Linked DNA regions of Pelodiscus sinensis. The main gene of each other region encodes a partner of the protein of the gene in region 2 in a complex. Links are inferred from orthologs where the notes say so. Each region holds a gene or a part of one and is shown on either strand. Other genes may lie near its edges.

The links. The genes of interacting proteins can lie anywhere in the genome.
Region 1: the proteins of JARID2 (region 2) and AEBP2 are in contact, whole or in part, in a cryo-EM structure (PDB 8VNZ), measured with the Homo sapiens proteins. The link is inferred for Pelodiscus sinensis from reciprocal best matches to the Homo sapiens genes JARID2 and AEBP2. Residues at the interface, in NP_004964.2 of Homo sapiens: Ser148, Lys151, Pro152, Lys153, Thr154, Glu155, Asp156, Leu158, Thr159; in NP_001107648.1 of Homo sapiens: Arg407, Ala410, Ile411, Asn414, Leu415, Glu420, Ser421.

The regions. Positions count from the first base shown.
Region 1 is NC_134711.1:114,664,464-114,672,174, reverse strand, and holds the start of AEBP2 (zinc finger protein AEBP2), read right to left. Parts: upstream 3,029-7,711; 5' UTR 2,839-3,028; coding exon 2,285-2,838; intron 1-2,284. UniProt on the Homo sapiens protein: Acts as an accessory subunit for the core Polycomb repressive complex 2 (PRC2), which mediates histone H3K27 (H3K27me3) trimethylation on chromatin leading to transcriptional repression of the affected target gene.
Region 2 is NC_134712.1:106,767,569-106,774,686, reverse strand, and holds the start of JARID2 (protein Jumonji), read right to left. Parts: upstream 3,001-7,118; 5' UTR 1,980-3,000; coding exon 1,935-1,979; intron 1-1,934.

The DNA.
Region 1 (7,711 bases), on a different chromosome or scaffold from region 2:
TTATTACATTTAAACGGCAGAGCTGCAGCAGGGCCCCTTACTGACTAACCGGGTACTCGAAACAAATTGTACTGAATACACAATTAGTCAAGTACCCACTTCTTAATATCCTTAACTTGCACCAGGCTAGTTAGCTCGTATCTGTGTTCCAGTATCTACTAGGCCAGGAGATAGTCGAGATAGTCACTCAAACACATGAAGTGGTTTTTACATTAGATTAAAAAAAACACCAAATATTGCTAGACATTGTAGTAAAATTGTGTGGATTGGCAATACTGATTTTTCATATTTTAAAGCCCCAAACTCCCAGATTCTATGCAATTTAAATGAGAATCTCATTTAAAAAGTTTCTAGCATTCCACTTTGAAAAAGGAATGAAAACATGACACCAATACATACTAAAAGCATATGACGCAGAAGGTAAATGCAAAGCACCCAAAATATTGTTTCTTAAATCATCAGGATTTTCAAGTCAATTCTATGATTTGGAGGTGGCTGATTTGAACACTAGAGGTTGTCAATACTCAAATATACTGACATCAATCTCATCTGCTACTTTTCTGCAGTATTTGAACGGACATTTTAAGCTTTTCTTCAACTAAGCTTTTAACATAGTTTGGTTGTCGTCGTGCCCCACGCGCGCACACACACTATCATGTCCTGTTAGGAGTGATAAAAACACAGCACATTATAAACCTAAATAAATAACTTTTCAAATGCTACTAAGAACCTTACTGTTTTGTCATTTGCTCCTCTATATGAACAAATAAACCAGATTTCTCCACTTAAGTAAAATTAAAAACATATTTATGTAAAAATAATAATGGGCAATGATCTATACATGTGTCAAGGACACAAAGCACCACATATAATCAAAGTTACAGAATCATTAAGCCATTCTGAAACTCATTAAGCAGCTCCAGAAGAGAGTTGGACTAGTAAAGTGACTCAAGTAACTAATTTAGCATTTCTTATTCTATTTGCCTATCACTTAGTTTGTGTGGTAGCACTTGACAGTCAATGAGCTGCTAGTTTTATGTTTTTGAACTTAAATCATGCCAAAACAGTATTTTTAAATATTCAGTTCTGCACGCTAAGTTCATTGTTCATTTACAAAAAGGAATTAACTAAAGATTTAGTGTAAAAGATAAATCTATATAGGAATCGAAAAAGTTCATCCTTCTTTGGATTCAGTTACATACATATTTCAAGTCCTGAAAAAATTGTAAAGATCACTACACCAAGAAGAGTTGGTCCACCATACAAATTACCTCACCTACCTTGTCTACTAACTACATGGATTATCAATCTGTGTGGCTTTTAAATGAAGAAAACTAATATTTTACACAGCAAAGATTGGTACACGAGGAGGTTTTTCCACATACCAGATAACAATCTATGCTGATCAAGTAAACTAAAATTTCCCCCCTACAGTTAGACAGGCTGCTTCTTTATGTTCTCTCTGTAATACATGGAGAACACCTTTAGCACTTGATCTTTGAGGTTTAGATCCTGCTGTTTGCATTTTAAACACAAAATACAACTAGAGACACTTGAAAGTATTTTGAAAGAGATATTAGCATCCCAGGAAACAGTAGTTAAACTCTACTATTTAAAGGCTGGGCTTCTTGCACACCAAACTAGGAAGGAACCAAATCGAGTGGCTATCAAAATAAGTTAATGATTTCTATACGGCAAGAAATCTCACCTGACCAGAGATTTTTCCCGAAAAACTTTCAGGAAGAAACAAAGATTTTAAGACCAAATAGATATCTGAAAGTATAGAAGTTGTGGACTTTTCTGCTCACTATCATTAAACTTGGCAAGACTAGAATCATTCAGGAGAGAGCACTAACCATGCAAAAAATCAGCATGCAAATAAAAGTATCGAGACCTCTCTTCCGTCTGCTGGGTCAGTTCAGGAGGAATACACAACCCACCTGGCGGCTCCTAACCCTTACTCTCGGTTCTAGGAAATCCCCACCCATCCCTTCCTGTACTGGCTGCCTACTGCCCCAGACTGGGAGATGGGGCAGGAGTGTGGGTGACGGTGGCTTGGTGTTGCTCCATGTCTCTCTGGGCTAAGAGAGGTGAATTTCGAGGAGCTCTTGTGTGCCGGAGGCCCAGGAGATGGCGTCTCAGGGCCCCTATCCCGTGCGGGATTTCAAGGGTGAATCCTGGCTGAGGGAAGAGCTGGAGGGCCGAGGATCCCAAGCCCCGGCCGCGGAGCAACCGCAGGGCTGTGGCTACCCCCAGCCTGCCGAGGCGCGGGGCCCGCACTGACCTGTCCTCCGAGTCCATCCGGCTCAGGGGTTCCCCGTCCGAGGACATCTCCAGGCTCCCGCGCCGGCCCCCCGAAGTGGCGCTACAGCTGCTGCTGCCGCTGCCGCCCCCTCCGCCCGTGCCGTAGCCTTCGTCCCCGCCGCTGGACACGCTGCTGCTGCTGCTACCGCCGCCGCGGCCCAGCCCGTCCTCCTGGCTGCCCCGCGGGCCCTTGGGCTCCTCCTTGGCGTCGGCCTCGCTGCTGCCGCCGGGGCTGAGCGAGCGGGTCTCGTCGCTGCAGCAGCCGCTGCTGGTGCTGCTGCTCCCCACCAGGCTGCTCGCCTCCTCCTCGCCGCCTTCCTCCTCCTCCTCCTCCTCGTCCTCCCCGTCCCCGGCCTGGCTGGCGCTCTCCGGGCTGGGCTCCGACATGCTCTCGGCCTCGCCGGGCAGCAGCAGCAGCGCCTCGGACTCCGCCGCCGCCGCCGCCCCGGCCGCCTCCTCCTCCTCCTCGCCCGCCGCCGCCTCGCCGGGCAGCAGCCCCTCCGGCTCCGCCATGTCGCTGAGAGCGGCCGCCATGGCGCCGCCGAGCCGCTGCCGCCGCCGCCGCCTGGGTCGCTCGCTCGCTCCGCCGCCGCCTCTCGCCCGCACAATCGCGCAGCAGAAGCGAGCGAGCCGCAGAGGGGAGGGGCCGCCGCACGCGCTACGGAGCCCGCCCGGGGACAAAAAACCGGAGCTGGGAGGGTGAAGCGCCCGCGGCGTCGGTGCGGGGGAGGAATTGAGGACTCGAAGCTGCTTAGGAGCGGGCAGAACCAAACGGGGAGGGGGGGGAAGAGGAGCGAGTGGGCAGAACCAAATGTGGTGGGGGGCGCTGAGGCGGGCAGGGAAGGGAGGGGGAGTGCTGAGTGGACACGAGGCTGGGCGGGAGTCAGGGCTCCAGGCTTCTCTCTGTTGGCTCTTCCAGAGAACGGGCCCTCCCTGCCTTCACCCCTTCCAGGCGCTGTGGGTCAGGCTAGGGGTGCCCCCCCCCACACTTCAATAAAGCTATGTTTGCACTGGTGGGTTCTTGCACAAGAACCGGCAGAGCATCCACACGGCCCGCCCGCTCTTGTGCAAGGCTTACCCTGCGGCATTGGGCTTCTCGCAAGAGCTACACTCTTTTCTAACAAGTGTAAGCCCTCTTGCGCAAGAGGGCAGTGTGGACGCGGACGCGCGGCAGGGTTTTCTTGCGCAAGAGAGCATCCACACTGCCATGGATGCCCTCGCACAAAAGCATGTGGCAGCGTGGACGTGTTCTTGCACCAGAACCCCCCTGTACAGACAGAGCCTATGGGTTTTCATAAGATAAGACTTTCCGTACATCATTGGGCACTTGTGCAAATCCATCCCACTCTTAACGTTGCACGCACCCTGCCCTACCATGTGCATGGGGGGATGTGCCCCTGGACGAGAGCAGTAGCACGCCCCCAAAAGAAGATGGTGCTCTTTCCACAGCACTTAAGGGAGATAGGGCCTGAGGAACCCCAAGTGGGTGTGAGCCCTAGTCTGAGTGAGAGAGCTTTCAACTAGCTAACTTGTAACAGGCCCTAAGGTACTCCACGTTCACGTGAGTCATCTCAGAGGAGATACTGGTTGACATTCCTTGCTGTTGGCAAATATTACAAATCATCTTGCGGAAACTGTGGCAGGTTTGGTCTTTAGTGAATTAAAGGAGGCCCTGTGAACTTGTGATGTACACCCTACCTTTCCCTGATTAGTAAGTGTTTTAAGGGAAACACTGACAAAAAACTTTTTATTCAAATGGAAACCCATTGCTACCTTGGACAGAAATTCAGGGAGAGATCTGAATGATTTACCCATATGAAATATTGTACAGAAAAGGTCAACCATGAGAGCTTACATTTTCCCCAAATCTAGCTGATGTAATTGCCATTGTTAAGGATGTTTTCATAGACACATGCAGTAAGTAACAATTTGGTAAGTGCTTAAATGGATGGAGTGAATGCAGCTTACAAAGCCTGTCAGCACAACGTTAAAGTCCAATGAAGGAGGTTCCCTTCATGGGGAGAAAAGCTTGTATAAGGCTCTTTAAAAATGTGATCATAGCGAGGCAGAGAAAAACTTTAGCATTGAAGAGGGGATGGAGTGATGTGTGAACATGGCTCCCAAGTGCACTCTCATAGATAGTTTCAAGTGCTTAATAGAGTATAAATAGTCCAAGAATTAGGGGTCTGGGAATCAATAGGTTGTAATTTACATTCTCATCAAATCTGAATCTTTTGTACTTAACAGCCTATGTTAGTCTGGAAACTTTTCTACTGTAGATCAAATGTTCTGGACATCAGAGAAACATGATCTCTCTGTGTCTGATCTCCAGTAAGTAGCCAAGCTGTGAGTGTGAGGAAGAGGGAGGATGGATGTAGAGATAAGATGCTCCCATAGTTTTGAGGTATTAAATCTGGTCAAATTTAAAAGGTTTTAGTGACTGAAATGATAAGAGCATCAATTCCAGGAGGTACCAAAACTACCTGAGCCAAGTAGTTGCTATTACTATCTTGTGTTATCTTTCTGAGCATGCTAGGACTCAGAGGGATTTGAGGGTAAGCATACATCATCCATAGGAAGCATTGAGTGAGGAATGCATCAGACAGGAATCCTGGGCTTAGACCTCCTTTGGAATAGAAATAGATACATTTCATCTTCTTGGGCTGTTGGAAATAGGTCTACAAAAGGATGACCCAGCACTTGGAAGATTTGATGGATAACAGAATCCTCGATCATCCACTCACAGCTTGACAAAAAATATCTTCTAGAGCATTCTCTACATCAAAGGGATCCTCCCTGCCCATTTATATAACATGTTTCCAGTTATAACTTGAATGGTCAGTCCATGGACAATTGGTAGGAATGCAAAAGTCTCTGTGAACCACTTTGGGCCCTGCAATATTCATATGTAGTCAGGTATCCTCATGGGTCTGGAGAACTGGAGCCTGATAATGGTCCAGATATGCTCCCTATCTCAGCAGGGACATGTCTATCACTAAGGGGGCAGAAGTGGATAAAAAGGGGGGAAAGATCTTTCACACTCCTAATGATAGACATTGTCATTGAATCAGAGGCTGAATTCAGAGGCATCCATTGCTGCGTGGAGGGTCATCCTGGCTACCAGCTGTTCATCAGCAATCAAAGATTTAAACTCCAGTCTGTTCTCCAGGGAGATGTCAAATCTGAAAATTTAATGTAATTTTAAAAATCAGCACCAGTAACACCTGATAATTAGCAATCCAGAAATACTGGCCAGTAGATGAGTAACTCTTACATCTGAATAAATCTCTGGAAGTTATCTTTCTGTTGCAGTGGGCTTGTTTCACTAACCACCATAACCATTACTAAGTAAGGTAGAGGTGAGTGCAGATACTCAGATCTGACAAATGATACCCAGTACCTCTTAGCTGACTTTTTTAGAAGTCAGAGGTACTGATACAGTTGTTTACCAGATGTGCTTTACTGGCCTTTTGTAATAAGGAGTGACAAACAACCCGGTATGACAGCAAAAAGAATGTCCAAGACCTTGTGTTGTCTCCACCAGTGTTGCAAGAGAATCAGCTACATGTTTGAGCAGATGCTCTTGTAGATGTGTGGAAGCTCTTGTAGATGTGTGGATGAGAAAGTATAGATCGAACCATTGCCTCATCAAGGGATGATGTTAATACAGTGTCTGGCTTTGACTCATTTCCTGTCTGGGGCTGGGAGGACTGCTTCTGTACCTAGAGGAGGAGGTTGATGGTGCAGAAACATAGTATCTTGTTTGTGAAGATCCCAGAGGTTCAAGAAAGGCCATGATTAAATGTTACATGGAACAGCACCTGACACCCAGGGAAAAGAGTATCAGGACTCAGGGCAGATGTCTACTTTTATATCCCTGTATAATCTAGGCGTTTATGAAACTAGGCAATTTCAGACTCATAAGAATAAAGCGAGGGGCCCATTACTGAATATAGAGGGGATCCCTGCTTTGTTGGGAATCTGATGAAGAAAGAGAGCATTCTCTGTCTAAGAGGTAGGGCCTGCTAATTAACAGATTTGTTTGAAAATCTTTGGAAAATTTAAACTATCCATGTATATTTGTGGAAGATACAATGTATTATTTATACAAAACAGAGACAGAGATCCCTGCTGTAAGCGAGAAATGGAATCTGTCCTTAATTATGGAGCTGCTAGCAACACCTCTGTTAGTTCTTCTCGCAGAATTGCCAAGAAAGAGTTATACAACAAAAATGTGAGTAGGCCATCCAGCAGATGGGGCAATTTTGTGTGTGTACATTAGCCAGTAAATCACTATAGTTTCAGAGATTATACTTCAAACTAACTGCCTATGGGAAGTCGTACTCTGCATTTGCTGGATTTAAAGCATTTGTTTTTCAAAGACAAAAAGAAAAGAAGACTTTTCATGCTGCAAAACCAGCATGAAAACATTAAAGTCCAGCTGAACTGTACAATTGTAGAATCACTCAAAAAACCCCTCAGAGTACTTACCGTGTGCCTCATAGTAGTCCAGATTGTGACCTTTTTTGTTTGAAAAGACCTGCTAAATTTTTCAAAACTTTGTGTATGTGTACATTTTGTAAAACCAAAATACTGATGAAAGTACAAAAATCCATTTAAGTGTGTATTTGTTAAAAATTCTCTCTACTTTATAGCCGTTCTGGTGAAAGCCCTTTCCCTCTATAGCCCTCGTAATTTAGGATAGGCTTCTTGCCTCCCACTTCTAAATTATCATTAGAAAATTTCCCTTTCTCTTGACACACTTTCTGTGGCCTACATTTTGTAGAGCCTGAGAAACTTACAATATTTTATTCATTTTCAGAACCCACTTATGAGATAGAAAGTAGGGATGTTAAATATAATTAGCTAATTGAATAGTCAATGGTATTTCCATCGACTGTTCGATTAGTTGATAAGGACTAGCATGACATTCTGCCTTTGAAATGTACAAGAGACACTGCAGGAACTCTTGTACATTTCAGCTGGGCCTCTTGTACTTTTCAAAGTGGACTCCTCCCTGATCCTGAACTCCATGTGGCATTTCAATCTCTGGGGCTCTTGCACATTTCAAAGCGGAAGCGCTGCATGGAGCCCAGGATCAGCGGGGAGTCTGCTTTGAAACCCTCTCTCCCTCTCCCCCCCTCCCGCTGCCTCTTTGTGATAGAAGCAGCAGCTGAGGAAAGCAATTAGTCAACTAGTGTGTCAACTATCCGATAACCTTTTGCTTTTCAGATAGTTGATTAGTCGCTTACATCCCTAGTCCATTGTACAGATGGGGAACTGAGGCACAGAAGCACAAAGATACATGCCCAAGGGAGTATGTGGCAAAATGGGATCCTGAATCCAAGTCTCCCAAGTATTCACCTAGGGCTCTAACCCCTGAACAATTCTTCATTTCTTCTTCTTT
Region 2 (7,118 bases):
GACGTCACAGGAGGGGGAGGGGAAATCACAACATCGATGAGACGAAGATTCCACTGAGCCCAGGCCCTTCCCTTTGTGACGTCACAAGAACAACAAGAACCTGGCCCCGACTGGGCTGAGTGGCCGGGAACCCGGGGGCTTGTTCTGACATTCCGCTTAACCTGTTGCCGCAGTTCTAAAGGATGCATGGGAAAACGACCAGGCCGGCCCACAGCAGCAGCAGCAGCAGCAGCAGCCATGCTTGCGTCTGTGCCAGTTACTGCAATAGTGCAGCAACCCACGTTCACCCCCCCCACACACACACTGAGGAACACAGTAAGCTGCACTCCTCCCCCCCCCCCCCCCCAAAAAAGCGATTTCCCTCCATTCCACTGAGTTACACTTGTGAACACAGGATACATTGTCTCCCTACCACGCTCACATGTGTCTCTCATACCTTTCCTCTCGGGTTAAAGGGGGGAGGGGTGACAGTAGTTTTATTAATTCTTTAACGAGCACTATAGGCAAAACCAGAGGAAGGTACCATTGTTCACTCGTCCAGACGTGGAGTCGCTTTAAAAATAATAGGTTACTTTATTAATTAAACACAGCAAATGCGTCCCCCATTCCGCTTTGTTTCACTGCCTGGTAAACGTGCACGTCTTACATGTTTCGTTAGACTTTCTAGACAATGTTCCTGTTTCGATACAATACTTTAAACTAGTCCGCTTCAGACTCCCAATTCCTCTGCAATGCGGATGTATTTTTAATTCGTAAATTCGGTGCAGAATACCCTTTACGTTTTTAATATTTTCCTAGCCTCTCGTTTCTCTAAATTATATTTTAAAGAGACAAGCATCAACAGAAACAGGATTCTTAAGCCTTATTTTATCTTTTATTAAATCTATTTAAAAACAAGGCAAAGGGTCCCGAAGGTCATCACCCTAAGGAAATACATCTATATGCCCCCCACGGAAAAAAGCCAGATATAATACATATATAATACAACTTTTGAGTGTTGCATCTAATATATCTTGAAGCATTTTCTGAACAAAGTGAAATATATTTTATTTTTAAACGCGCAGATAAAAATAATTAGTTCTGCAGCATATCTGACGAATCCCCTCAGTTTTTCCAAACTTAAAGACGCCCCTATGCCAATCAAAACATAGCTGAAGCAGGACCAAAACCCAACTATCCTTGCAAATGTATATATTTAAAGGATTAGACTATTACAAGGATCTGGTTACAAGCAGTTGAATAAGAACAGAGGTAGGTGTACAGCCTGAACTATACCATATTCTTCCAGCATTTCGAGACACCATCATGCATTTTTAAACTAAACCAAGCCATTTCCCCATTATTAGAGTCAATCCTAAGAAGAAACACATTCCCTGTAAGATGACCCCCAACTGGTTTGGTTTCTATTGCAAGTCAGATAAGCAAACGATCACATATTACATTTGATGTGGTAGTGCAAGAAACAAGCTCGCCATAACCAGACATTCGATTTCAACTTAAAGGGCTTTCAACAACCATAGTGTCCTCACTAAACAGAACTATAAATATACATCTATAAAATATTATTTTGCATGTAAAGTGCATTATTAATAAATCCATTTGAAAATAGAGTTTAGTAACATCGCAGCAGTGTCTCTCCCTCCCCCCGCCCCAGCCTTTCATCTAAAACTAGATTATGATTGTGTCATTTGAGGTCAATACATTTATTCACTTGAGGTATCGCTACACAAATCTGGCTTTATAGCTAAACTGGTCAGCAGGTTTTGCTATTTAAAAGGGTTTAAAAAAAACTCCCCCACACTTGAGCACAATAAAAATCAGCATTACTAAACATTTGTTCCAAACCTTTATAGCTGCGAGATTAGCTATAAACTTGACATTCACTGCCATTTCCTAAAACTGGGAGTCAAATGATATATGTTATGACCACTTACGTATTTCTTTTGAATTATATTCCTCTTGGGTCTTTCTTTACTCATTCTGGTATCCAAATTCTGATTGCAAAAGGGGACACTTGCTTCATGAAGTAAAGCCGAAACAATTTTTTTGTTCAAATACCCCCAAAAATCCAGTTTTTGTTTGTAGTAGTATCTTGTAATCCGACTTTCTTTCCTCACAATGTGATTTTCCTTGCCATAAATCCGATATATGGGGAATGGGGAAAACCAGAGACGAATGCGAAGCAAACAAAAAAAAAATCACTTTAGAGAAACACTCATAATGGAAATTTTCTCCCTAACACAAAAACGACGCCCTTGAAATCCCCCTTTCTCTTTCCCAAGCCACCTCCACGATCTGTAGGTCCTTAGTGTCTGAGCTGTAGTTACATCTTGCAAAAGGGAAGGGGTGGAAAAGAGAAGATAAATAAAAATGTTGGAAGTCACGTTTATGCTGCTGCAGCAAGGGAAAGCAACAGAGACAACTCCAGCAGCAGCAGCTCCTCTAGCAGCAGTGAAGGCTGCACGCACTGTGTGTGTCCCTGCTCTTCCAGCTCTCCCCTAACCAATGAGAGCAGCGCTCCGACAGCAACTTTAAATGGACCTGGGCTTTTTTTTAATCTCTCAGTTAGGGCTTGGCCTCAATTCTCACCCAGGCCCTGGCCGCAAGCCCCCGCCAAGCCGCATGCAGCAGCCGCAGCCAGCCCAGCACAGCCTCGTGCAGGGCAAACGTCAAACACCTCGGCCCCCCTTTTCGCATTCAAAGCTGGCCTCGGGCGAGCCGCCGCCGCGGCCACTGCGAGGGAGCGAAGCGGGGAATTGGGCGATGATCCCTAGCGCGGCACGCTCAGTCGCCCCCTCGCCTGCCCCCCTCCCGGCCTGTCTGCAAAGCTCTTGAATGATCCTCCGGCCCCGCGAGCCGCTCGCCCCGTCACATTCCCACGCGCCGGGCCACCAGCACCGGGCCTCGCCGGCCAGCGCGCCGCGGGTTTTCCGCGTGCCCCCTTGGAACGCTCCCGGAGCGCTGGGAAAGTTGTAGTTCCCTTCACCACAAAATGGCTACGGCTGGGAGAGGAGAAACTACACTTCCCAGTCTGCCGCGCGCGGGCAGGAACGTGCCGCTGCCGTCGCGTTCTCTCAGCCGCCTCCGCCCCGCCCCCCCTCCTCTCCTAAGGCGCCGGGGCTGTTTGATTGGTTGCCTTGCCTGGGAGGGAGGATGCTCCGTGTGGAACGTTTCCCCCCTCCTCATCCCTGACTCTCTCCTGCCCGCGGGCGGCGGACGTTCGATAGAGACTGGAGCGCGGAAGCCGGGGCGCGAGCCGTGGAATGTTGGCCGGCGCGGGGCTGTCGCTTGCAGATGCCTGCGGGGAGCGGGGGTTTCTGACTGGGAGGCTCCAGGGGTGGGATCCTGTTGAGGGCGAAGGGAACTGCAATGCTCGGAAACGGGGGGGGGGGGGAAGAAGGCGCAGCAGAGGCTGGAGGAAGTGGGGGCCCCGCTATGCACGAGCCTGTGGGGAAAGAAGGTGCATGGCATCTGTTACGGGGAGACTGCAGTGGTGCAAGGTTGCATTCAAGCCCTTCTGGGCTCTTCCTGTCATTGGAGAACTGGGGAGGAGGGAAAACTCCAAAATGCCCTTAATTGGGAGACCTTGGAAGGGAGGAGGAAATGCTGGGGGGTTGTTTAATTAAGAGCCAGTGGGAGAGGGATACCGTTAGTGGAGATGGGAGGAAAGGAAGGCTATTGGGGGAGGCAGGTACTACCTTTCCTTGGTAGGCTATAGCAGGCAGGGGAGCCATATGCTAGAGGAAGGAGAAATGGGGCTTTCTTGGCAAGCTACAAAAGTGGGGGGTGGGGATGAAGCAGGCGCAATGGGGAGAGCAGGGCGGTTTTCCTTTGCGGTGGAATGAGGATTAGTGTGCCTGGATTGGGCTAGGAAACTGCAGTAAAAAATGAAAGTTACCTATATTATCTAAAGGGACCTCTTGCTTTCCTTTTAGTTATTGGGAGTCTGCTTCTTAGCTTTTCAGTGAGTGTCACCTCAGGACAGCTTACCTGGTTTATATAAAACTTGCTCAAGGTACTCTGAGGTCACTACTCCTCCCTCCCCTGCTGTCCCTCCTCCTGTAATGCTGCAAAATCCCTGCTGCTGCACTGGATTAGTCTGAAGAGCCAGAGCTTGTAGGCAGCAACAGCAGGACTAGTAAAATAACACACATAATAATCCTATAGTTTGAAAGATTTTAAAAACCTCCCTAGTTTTGCTGGTGCCAAGGTGTGTTGCAAAAGGGAAGATTTGTAATGTTTGATCAAGGTAAATTTCCCAGGAATGAAAACAAACACACTCTTGTAAATGCAGCAGTTACTGTAGTTCATTGTATATGATGTTTTAATCTCCTGAGTCTTCATTAAATTATTGTGCCTTTTGCTTTTTCCAGAATGTTTGAAGGGGGTGGGTTCCCCTTGTTTGTAAGCAAAAATCAAATGGTCACCTGATTTAATTATGTAAATAAATGGACATAGCAGTGTATACAAGCTAGGAAATTTATTATTAAAACCACATTTTAAATGCGTGTGTGGTTGGGGATTGCTCAAATACATTAATTTCTTTATGAAAGAGTAGTGGAGAGAAAACAGTGATAAGAAAGCTTACGTTTTCAAACATAACACCTTAGTTAGGTCTTAAGAGGCAGAGAATTATTTCTGTTTTCAGATGAGAAACAGTGACAGGAATAGAGAAATTTGAGTGACTTTATGCTAATGTTATAAGTCTGTGAAAGACTTTGATGTTTCTAGTTACTAATTTTGTATTCAGACCATTGGCTGTTTCTCCCTTTCCATGCAACCAAATAATATACTTTATAACATCTCCTAAGTGAGGCTCTTAGCACACTTCCTGAATAGTAATCTAGTCTTACATCATTCCTCTGAGGTAATAATATTTTCACTTTACAGATATGGAAATTTAGGTACAAAGAGGTTAAGTGATTTTACTCAATGTCACATAAAGTCTGGAGAAGAGCCAGTAATAGAACCCAGAGCTTATGATCTCTAATCATATGCTTTACCCACAAAACCATCCTTCCTCCCTTAAAAAGAGAACATCTACTCACATCCTGTAGAATTAATTCACAAACTGCGTTTATTATGTTAAATGTAAAACGGTTACTTTTTAATATCCTAATTTTCCCTTAATCTTTTTCCATATTTGTTGCTATTTATATCAGGGTTTCCTCTAATCTGCCACTTTTTAATTTTTTTAAGTTCTGGTTCTCAGTTTCATAAAGTTTAAAATTATCTTTATGCAACATAAACTCTGTTAAAAACTGTAATCATAATAAAAATACATTTTAAGTTCCATTGCAAATAGCTATAGAAAGCCACATAGGATTATTTATAGCATTTATATACACAAATGGAGTGATGGCTTCATTTTAGCACGCTTCATCCTAAATTAGAAATATACTCATAAGCTGGCTTGTTACTCATCACTTGAATAGAATGTTCTTATGCTAGAAGTGGGCTAAAACGCCTGCTTTTTGGTTCTTCATGACGTATACAGTGGGCGTACAAGTCGGGTTAGGCTTTATTATTATTTTTTTAAATAAAAGTCTCTTTTTCTGTGCTTTACTTCACAAATTCAGATCTCAACTACTTTTTTTTTCTGGTAGGGTTCTATTGAAAACTGAAAAATAGTAGAATTATTGCATTATCGGAAACAAGGAATTGCAATCTAACTAATGTACAAGTAATTTCTCTATACACTGTTTACTTTTCCGTTGGTTATATTAAGGTTTTTATTCAACTTAAAGACTTAAGAAAAAACACTTTTCAAAGATAAAGTATTCTGCCTCTTGAAGGACTGTAAAAGGTCCTATTCCATATAATGTTTCATCCTCCAAGGAGACCTCCAGCTAAATCGGGCTAGACATTCCTGATATTTCTAAGTTATCAAAAATCAAAACATTTTAAAACAAATCTATCCGGTTTTCTGTGGTACAACATGAAAAAGCCAAAAAAAATAGAAGGTTTAACCCATTTTTCCACCTTCAGATTGCTTTTTAGGCAAGGGAAAAAAAACAACAAATGGTCTGGTAGCACTTCATAGACTAACATGCCATCTACATGTTTTCATGAGCTTTCGTGGGCACAGCCCACTTCTTCAGATGACCGGAGTTTCATATGAACTCAATTTAAATTTAATAATAAGTTTCATATGAACTCCGGTCATCTGAAGAAGTGGGCTGTGCCCACGAAAGCTCATAATACCATCTACATGTTTTGTTAGTCTATGAAGTGCTAGCAGACCATTTGTTGTTGTTTTTTCCTGTACAGACTAACTTGGCTAACCCCTGAAATTTTAGTGTTTGGCTTTGGCGCAAGGTGTCATGTTTCCAGCTAGTGTCTGTTCCACATAACAGATAAGAGAGTGCTATTGTGGTTTCTCTTTTAGCTCAGTTGGTAGAGATTTGAGCAGTTGTTGCTGAAGACTATGTTATGTTCTCACAAGCTGTTGTGGGAGAAGTTACACATCCATGGTTGTTCTGGAATCCTGCCCTTATCCCACTATGTTTCACTGCCTCAGTACTATGTTGTCTGACTTAAGATAGATTGTTTTACATAAATGATTTATTAAACACTGGTACTGTGATTATGTAGTCAATATCATGTATTTGGTTTAACTGCTGTTGACATCAGTGGTTGCCACTGAATTTGATTGGGGCTCCTATGGCTACCTTAACTTAATAGTGAGCTTAGTTTTAGCTATCATCAACTTATTCCACCTTGGACATGTTTGAAAAGTGACAAAAATGGCATTGTGGAGTCCCGTGTTTGTGTGTCATTGATTTCTAGATCAAATCTGTTCATTTTATCAAAAGTGCTGTTCTGTCTTCCAGACAGAAATCTGAAAGTGAAGTTGAGTTTCTGCGTCAGTAAGATCAGTATATTCTGTTGTTGCTTGCCACCTTGGTGGCAGAACCAGACCTGTCAATCACAGGCAAGGCATAAGATCTGCTTTCTGAAGGATATGACTTTTAAATGGCACTAGTCTCTGGAAAGACAAGATACAAAAGGAGAAGACTCTTATGCTCTTTGGATTCTTCTGTAATGAATAATTCCAGGTACAATAGCTTTGACTTGGGGGGGAGGGAGAGAAGAGCATGCAAAATACAGGAAACATT